Nothobranchius furzeri: one gene and its partner. The protein of the gene in region 1 purifies or fractionates together with the protein of each later gene. This does not show direct contact. Links are inferred from orthologs where the notes say so. Each region holds a gene or a part of one and is shown on either strand. Other genes may lie near its edges.

Region 1 (4,605 bases):
ACATTATCTTTGGATCTCACTGGAGAGGTTCACAGCCAAGTGTGAAGCAGATGGGATGAGAATCAGCTCCTCTAAATCTGAAACCATGGTCTTGAGTCAGAAAAGGGTACAATTCCTTTTCCAGATCAGGGATGAGATCCTGCCCCAAATGGAGGAGTTTAAGTATCTTGGGTCTTGATCACGAGTGAGGGAACGATGGAGCACGAGACTGACAGACGGATTTGTGCTGCGTCTGCAGTTGTACTGATCTAACGTGATGAAAAGATAGCTGAGCTGGAAGGCAAAGCTTTTGATTTAACGGTCAATCTACGTTCCTACCCTCACCTATGGTCACGAGCTTTGGGTAGTGACCGAAAGAACAAGATTGCGGATACAAGCGGCCGAAATTATTTTTCTCCGCAGGGTGTCTGGGGTCTCCCTTAAAGAGGATGAGAAGCTCTGTCATCCGGGAGGGGCTCAGAGTAGACCCACTGCTCCTCCACGTTGAGAGGAGCCAGTTGAGATGACTCGGACATCTATTTAGGATGCTTCCTGGACACCTCCCTGGTGAGGTTTTCCGGGCACGTCCAACTGGGAGAAGACCTGAAAGAAGACCCGCTAGAGGGATAATGTATCTCGGCTGGCCAGGGAACGCCTTAGGATTCCCACGGAGGAGCAGGCTCAAGTGGCTGGGGAGAGGAAAGTTTGGGCCTCCTTGCTTAGGCTACTGCTCCCGCGACCTGACCCCAGATAAGCAGCCGAAAATGTTTGTTTATTTATTGCACTGGAAATATGTCATAAACATAAACATAAACAGAAAATGGATGGATGGGTTAGTGGCTAAAATATACAACCATAAAAAAGCTGCACCTCCTTTCCTTTTGTTATTGTCAATCTCCCATTTGATCCCAGCTGAGTGGTCACCAATTTGAACCAGTCCAATTTTCCCATCTGTGGTTCCATAAAGGATTTCATCACCTAAAGGGGAAGAAAAATATGTATATTTAATTTCTTCAAAACTAAACAGTTTAAAGTTTATCTTTAGAGTGCACAAACCGACTTGCCTCCATCTTTGTTGTAGAGTTCCAGTACAGATGGCGGGCCAGGAATTTCAATGTCATAAGCAAGCTCAGATCCCTATGACCAGTTTTAAATAGATCACTGTCATATCTGGGTGTTTGAAGATGAACAGTTGAACAAAGTTCAAACAAAAAATGTGATTTCAATTTACCTGCAAAACTCTGAGAATTCGATCCTGGCATGCCAAGACTGGGGTGAGACGCAAGAGTTTTTCTGAGGACAAACATATGATATCATTTATTTTGTCTCCAGAGAGAAAGTAGTCTTGATCCTTGCAGTCACAGTAGTGGTTGTAGATGTAACTTGCACATACAAACAGATCAGCTCCTGAGACATGCCTGAAAACAACATTACAGCATCACTCAGTGGAGGTCACACGGTGCAAAACAATGCAATCAAACAAACTGATAAGAAATTATTCCTACATGGCATTAATGTTCTCAGTGAGGTTGGCCTCAAAGGTGAGGAATTGTTTGCCTTTCTTGGTGAATCCTCGAACCTGAGAACCAGAGCAGACAAAGATCTTTTCCTGGGGGGTTCCTATGGCACCTCCAAGGTCCATCCTGGCTATTTTGGGGCCCGGAAGCGTTTTAAACACAGACTGAAACACAGAGTCAGATGTTACTATAGCAGAAATCTTTCTTTTGACTTTAACACCAGCTATGCAATGACTTCTAAACTCACCACAGCCTCCCCCTTCTTCATGCCAAAACATGTAAGTACACCATCGTGATCGGCTATAGCAACCTGAAACACAATAAACACCCACATATTAAACCTATTTACACATGGATTTTAACAACATTTCACACATAGACAATAAATAGAAGATCTGAGTTTAGAATATGTTTAATACCCGTTGCTTAAACACCACCCTCACACTATTCCGAATGTCCTGAATTGTAAACAGTACCTTCTGAGTTGCTTTTTTCCCCACCGCTGGAAGTAACCTCATGGTTTTCTGTGATGTTACACCAACCTAATCACAGAGCAGGATTAAACACCGATCATTAAAAATTAAGAGATCATAACCAAACCAACTTCGATAGTAAATGCATCTAATGAAAACACCACCTTCTAAAAAGGTATCGCAGACCTCAGCAGCTCCTGCTTCCTACCTGAGTATAATCAACTCTGTTGAGTTGGAGCTCCATCTTCTTTCTTTAAGGATTTATTTAGTACAAGAAAAATACTCCAGGTGAGCGTTCTGGCCTCAGAATGATACTATGCCCTTTTACAACTCGATACAGATAAAAGAAAATCAAGCGGAATTCTGGAACAATGGTGCCATTTGAGAATGGGATTATTTTCAGCAAGAAGATTAGCTCGACGTGCTAACGTTGGCTAACACGATTAATCCGCCGGTCAGCTGTCTGTCCTCTTCGCCATCTTTAACAAGGTCCAAGTATTGATATCACACAGACCAGAAACTGGTCTAAAGTTCGAATTCTGTTGAAAGCTAAAATTAAGCCTACTGTACACACGCCTTGCAGCAGAATGCAGTCACCATGGCAACAGTACATCCTGTAACACGATGCGATTCTATTGGATGAGAGCGAACCAGCAGAGTTTTAAGCTGCAAATTGATTGGTTGGCTTCCTCGCGGTTTAAAAGCAGATTCATGGTTTTAACCACTGATCTTCGATACCTTAGATACGTCAGCAAGATAAATACTTTTTGTATATAGTATACCCAGTCATAACGCTAATAAGATATCTTAAGATAAACTAATGTAAAAATTGGGGGTTCAATGCTCAAAACGGAGGGTCCCTCGGCCATAAATCAATTTTCCTCACATACACACACGTTCTTATCCATACATTCCTCTCTCTCTCACACACACACGCGCGCGCGCGCGCACACACACACACACACATACTCACACATTATATGATATTCAACATACATGAAATTCTGAGCCATTGAGTCGACCTATTATTTTCTGGAAACTATAATATTGTCATTGGTATAATTGTCTATCATCTCTGCTGTTATTACAGAAATACTCATACAACATGTTCTTATTGGAAGTTATATTACTGTAGATGTATGTAATCCTGAGATGTAGATTAAAAATGTACATGGCTTATTTAAAGTAGATTTGTAGTGTGTGGCAAGGGGGTGGGATTGAATACTCCCTTTGGGCTAAGACTTTTAAAAAAATTGGTATATCTTTTCATTTTTTTACTATGTTCATTGATTTGAAATTTATTGTCTTACGTTCAAATAAACGTTTCAATCATTTAATCAATCACACACACATTGGTATATCTATACTTGTGAGGACCCTTCATTGACTTCCATTCATTTTTGTTACTGCTACGGTTAACCCATACTCCAACCCTAACCAATGTTGCTGTATTCCAATAACTTTATGGCTAATCCATGTGTGAAACTGACGTCTTGAAGAATCTTGGCACTGTCATCTTGGAATATACCCATGCCATCAGGGAAGATGGAATAACCTGGTCATTCAGTATATTCAGGTGACTGTTTTTTGGCGGGGCAGTATAAAAAATTCAATTCAGTTCAGTTTATTTATATAGCGCCAAATCACAAGAGTCGTCTCAAGGTACCACACAAAGTAAACAATCCAATAAAGGTCAGTTCATTAAGCCAATCAGTAAAGTTCCCTATATAAGGAACCCAGCTAATTGCATCAAGTCACTGACTGGTGTCAGTATCTTTACAGCAATCCTCATACTAAGCAAGCATTTAGCGACTGTGGAGAGGAAAACTCCCTTTTAACAGGAAGAAACCTCCAGAGGATCCTGGCTCAGTATAAGCAGCCATCCACCACGACTCACTGGGGATCGAGAAGACAGAGCACGCACGCACACTCACACGCACACGCACACACACACACACACACACACACAGGTATATGGCATTCAGTTTGTGTGTGTCAAGAATGCATCTGTGTGAGAATGTGCAACAGAATAAATGGCCTTGACAGCCCCTCATAAAAACTCACTGGTTGTTAGCAGAAATCTTAAATACAAATGTATACATGCATTAGTCTATGTTACTTTTTTATACGACCACCATGTACCTCTTCTTAAAAAGTGCAATCTTCTATACATTTGCCACAGTTCCATTTTTTCCCATGTCTATATTCTAGCCTGTTTTTATTTTATTGTAATTTTGTTCTGCAATGCATCTGCACAGATTGAATGACTAATCTGAATCTGAATTGTAGCTTATTAAAGCTACACTTGTTGATTCTGAGGCAACAGTCAACCACTAAAGTGACAAGTAATCAATTTTACTACTTTATTAAGAGAGAACTTGATCTTTGTCATAAAAATGTGGTCTTAAGCAGAAAGGGTGGGAGGAAAATGTGTTGAACACTAAACACATGAAAAAAGTTAAATATAATTTGCTTTAAAACAGAGAAACTATATTTAATACATTCAAAGGGAATGGCATGCTTTAGGTCAGTGATCCCAGACTCCCTTCCCCAAGGGCCGGTATACAGAATGTTTTAGTTGTTTCCCTAATCCAATGTACTTGAATCACCTGCTCAGCAGCTCATCAAGCTCTGCA
Region 2 (3,821 bases), on another chromosome or scaffold:
TCAGCCAACCAACCAGTCTGCAGTCGGTGTGCTGGGTCGGCTGCACACAAGGCGGACCGCCGGAGAGCAGGTTAAAAAAAAAGGGTCAACTGAGCACAGGAAACACACAGATTACCCAGGTGTGAACACAATTAAATTACCAGGGCTGGACCCAGATGTGCACGTACCATACAAGTAGCCTCAAATTCCTCTGTTCAATCAAAACTGATCTGTTTCTCCAAACTGAGGCTGTTTGAAGCAGAAAGTATATTAGGAGATTATTTGTTTACAACGTTTCAAAACCCCACCAGACAAGATCTAAACTGTCCCTTAAAAACTGTCATTCTGGACCACCGCTGATTAGCTCCATAAATATTCTAAACCAATCAGTTATTTAGTTTCAGGAACTGAAACTGGTACAAGGAAAGTGTCTGTTTTTTATGGCCATGAGCCAAATCATTAAGTAGGACTGCTTTGAAACACTCATTCTGAGACGGTTTGGTATTTTTAAGTTGTTCCAGCTTGATGTGTCTGATGATGTTCAGTCTCTGAAGCACCCTCCAGCAAACATTCGGTTTAGCTCGAAGCTCCACCCTTGCCTCGTTTTTACCCAAGGTCCTTTTAAATTTTGTCTCATTTCCACTTTACTGAATATTTAAACATGAGGCCATGGTGTAAATAAGTAAACCACATCAGTGTCTGTAACAGAGCTCATTATGGCTGCCTCCTATTGGGGCAAATGAATTAATCAAACGCCCCAATACCTGCGTCGCTTTAATGAGACTTACTGCTGAGTCTTATTTCAGTGTCAGTCTGCCTCCTCTTTGCTGTTTTCCTTTAGGGCTCACAGGCCATCATTAATACTCTGTAATCATTCTGAAAACAAGCCTGTTGGAATAATCTGACTGTCAGCCATAGTGGCTGGCTTCAGTTATTGAAAAAGTGACCCTTTTCATTTAGCTTCTCTCTGTCTCTGTTCAGGTATTCTCCAGAGAACACTGAACTTCTGACCACACTTGGCCTTCTTTATTTACAGGTTGGTATATTTGTTTGTAGCCTTAATGTATGTATGTATGTATGCTCATGTAAAATAATACTATTAATAAAAATGGTTATTTTTTTTAGCTTGGTAAATACCAAAAAGCCTTTGAGCACCTCGGGAATGCCCTCACTTTTGACCCAAACAATTACAAGGTATGACATTACACTTCAGCATAAACTTAGTTTTCTACTCAACACCTGAAGGTTTGAAGGCTGTTCAGTCAAAGCAGAAGGTCCTTCACCATCAGATGTTAGTCTTCTTGACTTTCATCATGTGCTGTTTCAAAGGTTACATCTTCCTCTAATCACTGTTTTTATTCCCAGGCCATCCTGGCTGCAGGCTGCATGATGCAAACCCACGGTGACTTTGATGTGGCCATGAACAAGTACCGAGTGGCAGCTTGTGCTGTGCCTGAGAGCCCCCCGCTCTGGAACAACATTGGCATGTGCTTCTTTGGAAAGAAGAAATATGTAGCTGTGAGTAATTCTGTTTTTGTGTTTTTCAAGGTTGAAGAAACAGAAACTGATGACATGCATCATACAGATTAGGGCCCCTCAGTATGATGTGCTTAGTGTAGAATGTAGCGTTACGAAATTGGTTTAAAAAATACCCATATGAGGTAGATTTAAATCAAGCTAGTTAAAAAATTACCCTACTTCACCAAGAAGATACCATACCATCCCATATTTCTTTGTAAAGCACTTTTTTTCTTTCGATTTATTCAGTCAGAAATACAACAAAACATAATATAATCATAAAACATTACATTTAAAGTGACTGAAAAGGCTCAGGCAGAAGCAAAACGCTTATATTTATGCCTGTCCTTTTTATTATATTATAATAATGTCCTTGTTAATATAATAATAGTAAATAATTTAAACACAGACTGTCAAACTGAAATACCCTCCTCAATTCTGTACCTGGTATAAATATTGTTTTTGTATTTTTTTTTAAACCGAATCAAAGTAACACATTTCCTTAGTGTCCCCTCCATCCTTTTCCACAGTCTTGCTTCACATACCGAAATACAAAAGGTTTTACTTGTTGTACGTGCAAAAGGAATTCTGAAATGAGATAGTTCCCGTAATTTATAACCCCCTTCCTTCTCAATGAATCATTTTTGGATGTTTTCTAGTAATAGTTTGTTTCTTGCAAGAAATAATATTTGTGCTGTCTGCAATTCTACAATGTCTCTAAATTTTAAGAGTGTTGATTCTTTTAACATTTAACCACAGCATGTCAGCTGACTAAAGATCCTGACAAGGAAAGGGCAGCAGAACAGGCAAAATACTACATTTAAAAGCCCCTCATGGACAATGAGTAAAAAAAATGTTGATAAAATTAAAATACTAAAACCAGAGCATTAAAGAGACAATGTGTAGTTTTTACTGCTAATCTCTGGAAAAAATCCAAATGTTGTTAAATGATGATAAATTAAATGATGCCTAGTTGTTGAAAAATATTGGTGGCTTCGTAACATAACCATAAAAATCAGGTCTAAAATACGTGGCAGCGGGTCTAAGTCTCTGGGTGACACCATATTAGATGCCACGTTTCCTTCTACGGGAGCCCGTGAGATCAAAATGCATTTACTGACTTGTAACAGTGACAGAACTTTTACCATTCATAGATGTTGTTGTTGTTTTACACATTTAGGGTTTTATCCTCTAAAAACATAAGTTAAATAAATAAATACATTTACCTCTTCGCTTGTTGTCAGTGATGAAAGGGAGTATGCTGTACTTGTCGTTTTGCTGGAGGTTGAATGATCTGACCAAGAACTTGTTCAAAAATAGTGCTCTTGGGGAATTTTGACCCTAATGGTCATCCGTTGGTAAGGTCTTACTCAAACATAAAAATACTGTTTGCTTGAAATGATTTAGGTATGTACTGCCCCCTATCGCCAGGATAAATACACACCATCACTTTAAGAAAAGCGGCATGTCGTACGTAGTGTGGATACATAACATAAAAATAAAAACTAAACAATTAAAATTGGGGTAAGGCATAAAAAAGAGTATAAAAGAAACAGTCCATAAAAATAAAAGGAAGCAAAGGAGACACCCAATAGAAGAAGAAGATCTTTTCTATAGCGCCTCTCAAGATAAAAATCACGAGGCACTTCACAAAAACAAAAAATGTAAAATATAAAAAATAATTTAGAAAATGAATTAAAATATATTTAAAATGAGCAAAAAATAGACAGTTGTGATTTAAAATGTAAAGAAAGAGAGAGAGTGAATAGGAAAGAGAAATCAGTGGATCCTGAGGAAGGTGGAATAGGATGGGGGACAGCACAAGGAGAGGATGATGAAGGTCACACCAAAACCAGCCTGAACAGGTGAGTTTTCAGCTGCTTTCAAAAGGAGACCACTGAATTCACTGATCTCAGGTTGGGGGGGGGGGGGGGGGGGGGGGGGGGGGGGTTGTCCATGTAAGGCCCTGTAGACCAGAACCAGGGTCTTGAAATGAACCCTGAAGTTGACTGGCAGCCAGTGAAGCTGGAGGAGAAGCGGGGTGATGTGGGTGTGTTTGGAGGTTTTGGTCAGAAGCCGAGCACAGGCATTCTGAACCACCTGTAGACAGTTCAGGGAGGTTTTGCTCAGACACGTGAAAAGAGAGTTACAGTAGTGTAAGCGTGAGGAGATGAAGGTGTGGATAATGGACAGAATGGGACTTAGCTTAGCAACGTTCCTGAGATGGAAGAAGGAAGAGCGAACAAGAGAACTGACATAAGAATCCAGGGTGAGAGCTGGGTCAAAGGTCACGCCAAGATTCCTGACAGAGGGTTTGGTGTGAG

What was found.
Region 2: the proteins of bbs7 (region 1) and bbs4 purify together in Homo sapiens (co-immunoprecipitation; 7 studies listed by BioGRID and IntAct, counting the BioPlex papers as one, with this or other methods). This does not show direct contact. The link is inferred for Nothobranchius furzeri from reciprocal best matches to the Homo sapiens genes BBS7 and BBS4.

What each region holds. Positions count from the first base shown.
Region 1 is NC_091741.1:74,284,274-74,288,878, reverse strand, and holds the start of bbs7 (Bardet-Biedl syndrome 7 protein), read right to left. Parts: upstream 3,059-4,605; 5' UTR 2,214-3,058; coding exon 2,178-2,213; exon of another isoform or gene 2,134-2,177; intron 2,039-2,133; coding exon 1,973-2,038; intron 1,807-1,972; coding exon 1,744-1,806; intron 1,661-1,743; coding exon 1,485-1,660; intron 1,398-1,484; coding exon 1,211-1,397; intron 1,117-1,210; coding exon 1,044-1,116; intron 958-1,043; coding exon 850-957; intron 1-849.
Region 2 is NC_091749.1:45,779,248-45,783,068, forward strand, and holds part of bbs4 (Bardet-Biedl syndrome 4 protein), read left to right. Parts: intron 1-960; coding exon 961-1,015; intron 1,016-1,104; coding exon 1,105-1,173; intron 1,174-1,344; coding exon 1,345-1,497; intron 1,498-3,821.